Linked DNA regions of Oryctolagus cuniculus. The protein of the gene in region 1 purifies or fractionates together with the protein of each later gene. This does not show direct contact. Links are inferred from orthologs where the notes say so. Each region holds a gene or a part of one and is shown in the gene's direction. Other genes may lie near its edges.

What was found.
Region 2: the proteins of KPNA6 (region 1) and RNMT purify together in Homo sapiens (co-immunoprecipitation; 3 studies listed by BioGRID and IntAct, counting the BioPlex papers as one, with this or other methods). This does not show direct contact. The link is inferred for Oryctolagus cuniculus from reciprocal best matches to the Homo sapiens genes KPNA6 and RNMT.

What each region holds. Positions count from the first base shown.
Region 1 is NC_091438.1:140,307,163-140,311,761, reverse strand, and holds the start of KPNA6 (importin subunit alpha-7), read left to right. Parts: upstream 1-1,788; 5' UTR 1,789-1,803; coding exon 1,804-1,969; intron 1,970-4,599. UniProt on the Homo sapiens protein: Functions in nuclear protein import as an adapter protein for nuclear receptor KPNB1. Binds specifically and directly to substrates containing either a simple or bipartite NLS motif.
Region 2 is NC_091441.1:70,605,595-70,609,405, forward strand, and holds part of RNMT (mRNA cap guanine-N7 methyltransferase), read left to right. Parts: intron 1-688; coding exon of another isoform or gene 689-699; intron 700-1,078; coding exon of another isoform or gene 1,079-1,200; exon of another isoform or gene 1,201-1,233; coding exon 1,234-1,351; intron 1,352-3,811. UniProt on the Homo sapiens protein: Catalytic subunit of the mRNA-capping methyltransferase RNMT:RAMAC complex that methylates the N7 position of the added guanosine to the 5'-cap structure of mRNAs. Binds RNA containing 5'-terminal GpppC.

The sequences.
Region 1 (4,599 bases):
CTCAAAGTATAGACCATGAAAGTAAGTCTTCAGTTAGAAAAGTGCTAGAGTCAGTAGCTGTAAAGAACACCTTAAAAACACAGAGTGTGTTATTTCAATCTATACATACAAGGACTCTTCAAAAAATTCATGAAAAAATTCATTATTATAAGAAAGCTGTATCAAAATAAACATTTTCTTTTTTTAAGATTTATTTATTTATTTGAAAAACAAGGTTACAGAGAGAGCGGGAGAGATGGGATAGATCTTCCATCCGTTGGTTCATTCCCTAAATGGCTGCAACAGCTAGGACTGGGCCAGGCTGGAGCCAGGAACTTATCTATGTCTCAAGGGAGGCAGGAGCGTAAGTACTTGGGCCATCCTCTTTTGCTTTCTCAGGTACATTAACAGGAAGCTGGATTGAAAGTGGGGCAGTAAGAACCCATATGGGATGCCAGCATTGCAGACAGCAGATTAACCTGCTGTACCACAACACCAGCCCTCCATTTTCTCATTAGTTTTTGGAAGTATACTCATATTTGTGAGCTTGAAGGTGTAATGACATCATTCTTAACCGATACTCACAGTAGCTGGGTTATTTGTGAAATGTTTTTCTGAGAAAATGCATGTTAAAAATCTTAAGAATTGGCCGGCGCCGCGGCTCACTAGGCTAATCCTCCGCCTAGCAGCGCCGGCACACCGGGTTCTAGTCCCGGTCAGGGCGCCGGATTCTGTCCCGGTTGCCCCTCTTCCAGGCCAGCTCTCTGCTGTGGCCAGGGAGTGCAGTGGAGGATGGCCCAAGTCCTTGGGCCCTGCACCCCATGGAAGACCAGGAAAAGCACCTGGCTCCTGGCTCCTGGCTCCTGCCATCGGATCAGCGCGGTGCGCCGGCCGCAGCGTGCTGGCCGCGGCAGCCATTGGAGGGTGAACCAACGGCAAAGGAAGACCTTTCTCTCTGTCTCTCTCTCTCACTGTCCACTCTGCCTGTCAAAAAAAAAAAAAAAAAAAATCTTAAGAATTTCACATTTTTAAGACATACCGGTAATTAAATGGAGCACTATAGCAATTTGGGACTCATGTGTTACCTGTTCTCTGTTTTGTTTTGTTTTGTTTAGTTTGCTAGGGCTACCATAACAAAACACCACAGACTGGGTGCTTTATTTTCTCACAGTTCTGGGGCTGGAAGTCTAAGGTTAAGGTGTCAGCAGGGTTGGTTTCTTCTAAGACCTCTCTCCTTAGCCTCTGGGTAGCTGTCTGCATATTTACTTGGTGTTTTCCTTCATAAAGATAGTAGGTACTGGATTAGCAATGACCTCTGTAACCTTATTTGCCTCTTTAAGGGCTTTAATGAAAAGAATAATTACCTTCTGAGGTACTGGGGGTTAGGGCTTCATCGTATGAATTTAGCAAGACTACAGTAGCTCAGCCATTTCAGGGTCCATACCTATTTTGTCTTCTTGTTGCTACTCCCATGGTTCTAAAAGCTTAGAAAATGCTTGGCAGCATTAGATATGTATTCCATATATTCCCTAGAAATAAGAGGTATAACTTCAGTGACCTTTGATTGAGTTCCTTGACTAAGAAAACCCAAAGCTATCTAAGACAGAAAAGATTTTTGATGTGGATTTTCTAGATCCAACCCCAGCAAGTAAGGGATTGTACCATGGAAAAAGTCCCTGTACTGCTGGATCCATGAAAGATAACCCAGTCTTCTTTTGGTCGATTCCACATGTGCTTTTCTGCAGATGTTCCTTTCACACTCCCTCCCTTGCCTGCTTTTCCAGTGAGGTCATAAGCAAGTATTTGTGATAGTTTCTTGTCACCATGGTGACTAAATCACAGCCTGGTTTTCATTCCAACTTTGCTGTCAACTCTGCTCGAAGGTTGGGAAAGCCTCTGGGAGACTCCAGGTTCAGACTCATGAAAAACCACGTGTCAGGTACCAGGGTAGAGGCGTTCACAATGTTATTCATGAAAAATCATGCGTCAGGTAACAGGGTAGAGGCGTTCACAATGTTATGTTCAGGAATCTGTGCTCCGCCTGTTAGTCTCCAGGCACAAGGATAATCAGGACCTAAAGGATGGTCACTTGAATCCCTTGGCATTTATTTATTTCTTCCTTAAGCTGGGCCTCTTTTTTGAAATGCAGAGAGAGAAGTTCCATCTGCTGGTTCACTCCCCAAATGCCCACAACAGCCAGAGCTGGGCTGGACTGAAGGTCCATATGGGTCTCCCACATAGATAACAGGGAACCAAGCACATAAGCCATTGTCTGTTGCTTCCCAGAATACATTAGCAGGAAGCTGAATCAGAAACAGAGTACCTAGGACATAAACTGGCACTCTGATTTGGAATGTGGGCATTCCAAACAGGAGCTTAATCCACTTATCCCCCCCCCCCTATTTAAACAACAAATCCTCTTGATTTCCTCAGAGATGGATTCAGCCTGTTCTCTTTAACTTCAAGTTTTACTTTTCTTTCAACCTGATGCCCTTGTAGACTACTTTTCCTCCTTCACTCCTTCACTATGTGCTTTCTTGATCCATTTCCATTCCCAAAGTCAACGCCTGCTTGAAGAACCAGGCCAAATGTTATCTTTCAGAGATTACTTTTTTTTTTTTTTTTTTTTTTTTTGACAGAGTGGACAGTGACAGAGAAAGACAGAGAGAAAGGTCTTCCTTTGCCGTTGGTTCACCCTCCAATGGCCGCCGCGGCCGGCGCGCTGTGGCCGGCGCACCGCGCTGATCCGATGGCAGGAGCCAGGAGCCAGGTGCTTCTCCTGGTCTCCCATGGGGTGCAGGGCCCAAGCACTTGGGCCATCCTCCATTGCACTCCCTGGCCACAGCAGAGAGCTGGCCTGGAAGAGGGGCAACCGGGACAGAATCCGGCGCCCCAACTGAGACTAGAACCTGGTGTGCCGGCGCCGCAAGGTGGAGGATTAGCCTAGTGAGCCGTGGCACCAGCCAGAGATTACTTTTCAAACTCTGTTGTCACAGTCACCCTTACACCTCCAGAAAAAGGCAGTATTAGTTTTCCCTTTCAGTGTATCTAAAAAACTTACTTTTCATCCGTTTTGCAATACTTTTATTCACTGTTTCAGATTACAGGTTGAGAGGACTGGAAATACTGATCAAGGGAGAACCAAGTTGGTGAGGCTTCAGGCCCTTCTCCCCATGCTTCAACACTGTCAGCATCACTTTTATCTGGTTTTACACATTGAGATTCTTTCGTTTTATAATTTGTAAATGTCTCTGTTTTTATTTATTTGAAAGACAGTGGAGACAGAGATCTTCCATCTAGTGGTTCACTCCCCAAATTCGCACAATAGCCAGGGCTGGGCCAGGCTAAATCCAGAAGCCAGGTGTCGCATCTGGTCTCCTTCATGGGTGGCAGGGACCCAACAACTTGAGCCATCATCTGCTCCTGCCTCCCATTATGCACATGAGCAGGAAGCTGGATCAGAAGCAGAGGTAGTACTGATCCCATGCCCTCTGATATGGGGTGAGAGTGTCCCAAAGTAGTGGCTTAAACCACTGCATCATAGTGCCCACCCCCACATTGGGATTCTATGACAAATTTTTTTTAATTTAAAAAATATATTTTTATTTATCTGAAAGGCAGAGAGACAAATCTCCAGTCTGCTGGTTCACACCCCAAATAACCACAACAACCAGGGCTGGGCAAGGCCACGGCTGGGAATTCACTGTTAGTGTCACATGTGAATGGCAGGGACCCAAATACTTGACCATTGCCTACTGCTTCCCAGGGTGCACATTATTAAGGAAAGATGGATCAGAGGTAGTACCTGGATTTGAACCTAGGCATCCCATCTGGCATCTTCACAAGTGACAAAGGCCCACTCTGAATCAGATTTAATTGAAAGAGGTGCACTGCAGTTAAAATTTTTTTTAAGGGCCGGCGCTGTGGCACAGCAGGTTAACACCCTGGCCTAAAGTGCCGGCATCCCATATGGCGCCAGTTTGAGACCCGGCTGCTCCACTTCCAATCCAGCTCTCTGCTGTGGCCTGGGAAAGCAGTGGAAGATGGCCCAAGTCGTTGGGCCCATGCACCTGCATGGGAGACCCGAAAGAAGTTCCTGGCTTCTGGCTTTGGATCGGCACAGCTCCAGCCGTTGCAGCCAACCATTGGATAGAAGTGAACCATTGGATAGAAGACTTCTCTCTCTGCTTCTCCTCTCTCTTTGTAATTCTGACTTTCAAATAAATAAATAAATCTTTAAAAAAATTTTTTTGGCCAGTGCCACGGCTCAATAGGCTAATCCTCCACCTGCGGTGCCAGCACACCGGGTTCTAGTCCCGGTTGGGGCACCGGATTCTGTCCTGGTTACTCCTCTTCCAGGCCAGCTCTCTGCTGTGGCCCGGGAGTGCAGTGGAGGATGGCCCAGGTCCTTGGGCCCTGCACCCGCATGGGAGACCAGGAGAAGCACCTGGCTCCTGGCTTCGGATCAGCACGGTGCACCAGCTGCAGCGCACCAGCCGCAGCAGCCATTGTGGGGTGAACCAATGGAAAAGGAAGACCTTTCTCTGTCCCTTACTGTCCACTCTGCCTGTCAAAAAAAATTTTTTTTGTTGTAGTGAAATTGACTACTTCAACCATTTT
Region 2 (3,811 bases), on another chromosome or scaffold:
CTGAGAATCCTGTTTTTATATATGCCTCTAAGTCCCAGTGGCCACTGGTGTTTCTCTTTCCCTATCCCATCAGTATTAATACTCTAAAATTTAGAAGTTTGTTAATAAAGAAACTGGCAAAACAAAGAAGCAGCCTAAGGTGTATGGTAAAAATGAGACGAGTTTTGAGGCAGGTTTTGGCACAGCAGTTGGGATAACACACCCCACTTTGGAGTGCTTGAGTTCGAGGCCCAGCTCCACTTCTCATTCCAGCTTCCTTCTCATGTGCACCCTGCAAGGCAGCAGGTGATGGCTGAAGTACTTGTATCCCTGCCATCCATCTGGGAGACCTGAACTGAATTCCCAGCTTCTGGTTTAGGCCTGGCCAGTCTCTGACTTTTGTAGGCATTTGAAAAGTGAACAAGGGATGGGAGCTAGCTTGATCAGTCTCTCTCTGCTTTCAAATGAATAAATTTGAAAAATAATTGACAAAAAATCCAGGAGATTAAAGTGAATCTTTTAAGAATGAGGTTGGCGGCCCTTTTTAATGCTGCTATGAAGGATCAAATAAAATAAAATGGAATCAGTACAAAACTGTTCTCTTTAGCTCTTTTTCCCCATCTCACAGCCCTTGAAATACTTTTTTACTCATGACCTATTTGGTAGCTAATAGAGCTGTCTGTAATTTAGAATGTATATTTCTTTACAGGCGTGGTTGTTGCTATGTTACTCTTTTTTTTTTTTTTTTTTTTTTTTTTTTTTTTTTTTTTTTTTTGACAGGCAGAGTGGACAGTGAGAGAGAGAGACAGAGAGAGAAAGGTCTTCCTTTGCCGTTGGTTCACCCTCCAATGGCCGCCGCTGCAGCCGGCGCACCGCGCTGATCCTGGCAGGAGCCAGGAGCCAGGTGCTTTTCCTGGTCTCCCATGGGGTGCAGGGCCCAAGCACCTGGGCCATCCTCCACTGCACTCCCTGGCCATAGCAGAGAGCTGGCCTGGAAGAGGGGCAACCGGGACAGAATCCGGCGCCCCAACCGGGACTAGAACCCGGTGTGCCGGCGCCGCAAGGTGGAGGATTAGCCTATTGAGCCACGGCGCCGGCCGCTATGTTACTCTTAATTTGTTTTGCATTACTCTCGGAATTCATGGAGGAAATGATAGCTTTTTAGTTTCAGCCCAGAAGATGTCACTGTTGTACAAAAATGAAGAATTACAAACATTTTAGAATCCTTTTCATTAAGTAATCTTTTCTGGACAGAATGGTGAAGAAGTATAATATGAAGCTAGTCTACAAAAAAACATTTCTGGAATTTTATGAAGAAAAGATTAAGAACAATGAAAATAAAATGCTGTTGAAACGAATGCAGGCTCTAGAGGTAAGTCCTTGAAAAGTTATAAAAAAATCCCAAGAACTTGTTTGGCTGTTTTTGAGATCTTTTCAGAGCCATATAGACACCATAGTGTGTGAGGCATCTTCGGAATGTTTGTGAAAAATGTGTGTTATGGAAAAATGTGCATGGTTTTCAAATAATTTTTTGTACCAAAATAAACTTGTACTAACTTGCTATAACAAGTCTGAACAGGATCTGGTTTGAGAAGGATAAGGCATGAGTTTGGAAAGAGCCCCTATCAGGGCAAAACGAGTTCTACAATTGAAGCAAGAACAAGCATCAAGTTATTGTAGAACTTAGGTGAAAGAATAATGAAATAGTTGATGCTTTACAAAAGGCTTATGGGGACAGTGCCTCAAAGAAATCAGTAATTTATTAATGGATAATGCATTTTAAGGAAGACTGAGGGGCCAGCATGTGGCACTGCTGATTGAGGCACTTTCTACAATGCTGGCATCTCATATGGGCACTGATTTGAGACCCAGCTGCCCCACTTTTGATCCAGCTCCTTGCTAATGCATCTGGGAAAGCAGCGGAAGATGGCCCAAGTACTTGGGCCCCTGCCACCCACATGGATGGAGTTGCTGGTTCCTGGCTTTGGCTTGGCCATTGTGGCCATTTGGGGAGTGAACCAGTAGATAGAAGATTTTTCTCCGTCCAACTCTGCCTTGCAAATAAATGAAATCCATTTTTTTTTTTTTTTTAAGAAAAAGGAGGACTGAGACTTTTGAAGGTGAAGCCTGCAGCTGCTGACCACCCATATCAATTTGTGAGGAAAAACTTAATCTTGTTTATGCCATAATTAAAGAGGACCAGTGATCAGTAACAGCAGAAACAGTAGCCAACACTATAGATACCTTAGTTGCTTCAGCTTACACAATTGTGACTGAGAAAGTAGAGCAGACACTGTTCCCTGAATACAAAACTGTTGGGATACAGAGATCAGCTACAGACAAGAAAAAACTTTTAAAGGAACTTTAAACAAATAGGATGACGATCCTGAAGGATTTCTATGAAGAACTGCAATGGAGATGAAACATAATTTTAACAATATGATTTTTGTCTTGAAGACAAAGCCCAATCAAAGCAGTAGATACCAAGAGGTAGAAGAAATTCAGTGAAGAGAAACATGGACCAATTGGAGCAAAGGTCATGGTAGAAATTCTGGGAAATGCTCAAGACATTTTGCTTGTTGACTTTTTGGAGGGCCAAAGACCAGTTAACATTTGCTCATTAGGGAGAATTTTTGAGAAATTTACCTAAAACATTAGCAAAAATAACCTGGGAAAGCTCTACCAGGATCCTTCTCAACCACTGCAATGCTTCTGCTCATTCCTCTTAAAATAAGAGCACTTTTGCAAGAATTTTGCTGGGAAATCTTAGGCATCCACCTCAAAGTCCTGATTTGGCTCCTTCAAACTTCTCTTCTTTTTTTTTTTTTTTTTTTTTTTTTTTAAGATTTATTTGCAGGTAGATTTACAGAAAGAGAAGGGGAGACAGACAGAAAGAGATCTTCCATCTGTTGGTTTACTCTCCACATGACTGCAATAGCAAGGGCTGGACCAGGCTGATGCCAGGAGCCTGGAGCTTCATCTAAGTCTCCCACATGGGTACAGGGGCCCAAGTGTTAGGCCATTTTCTGCTTTCCCAGTCACATAAGGAGGGAACTGGTTTGGAAAAGGAGCAGTTAGGACTTGAACCAATGCCCATATGGGATACTGGTGTCGCAGGCAGTGGCTTAATCTGCTGTGCTACAATGCCATCCTATTTCCTGCTCTTAAGGGACCTCTAAAGGTCCCATTTTTCTTTAGTTAAAATTGTAAAACACAGCATTGACATAGTTAAGTTCCCAGACCTTTTAGTTCTTTAGGGATGGTCTAAATGACATATAACATTATTTAACAAAACTGTCGTGAACTTGGTGAAGCTTGTATTAAAAAATAAAACTTATTTTAAATCTTTATTATTTGTCTTTTAATTCTATTTTTCACAAACTTTTTTTTAATTTTTTTTATTTTTTTATTTTTTTATTTTTGACAGGCAGAGTGGACAGTGAGAGAGAGAGAGACAGAGAGAAAGGTCTTCCTTTGCCATTGGTTCACCCTCCAATGGCCGCCACGGCAGCCGGCGCACCGCGCTGATCTGATGGCAGGAGCCAGGATCCTGGTGCTTTTCCTGGTCTCCCATGGGGTGCAGGGCCCAAGCACCTGGGCCATCCTCCACTGCACTCCCTGGCCATAGCAGAGAGCTGGCCTGGAAGAGGGGCAACCGGGACAGAATCCGGCGCCCCGACCGGGACTAGAACCTGGTGTGCCGGCGCCGCAAGGTGGAGGATTAGCCTATTGAGCCACGGCGCTGGCCCCACAAACTTTTTGATGTCCCCTTATATTATGCAGATTATTTATAACTACTCTAGATTTCAGCAGCTAGGACAGAACTTGAAAC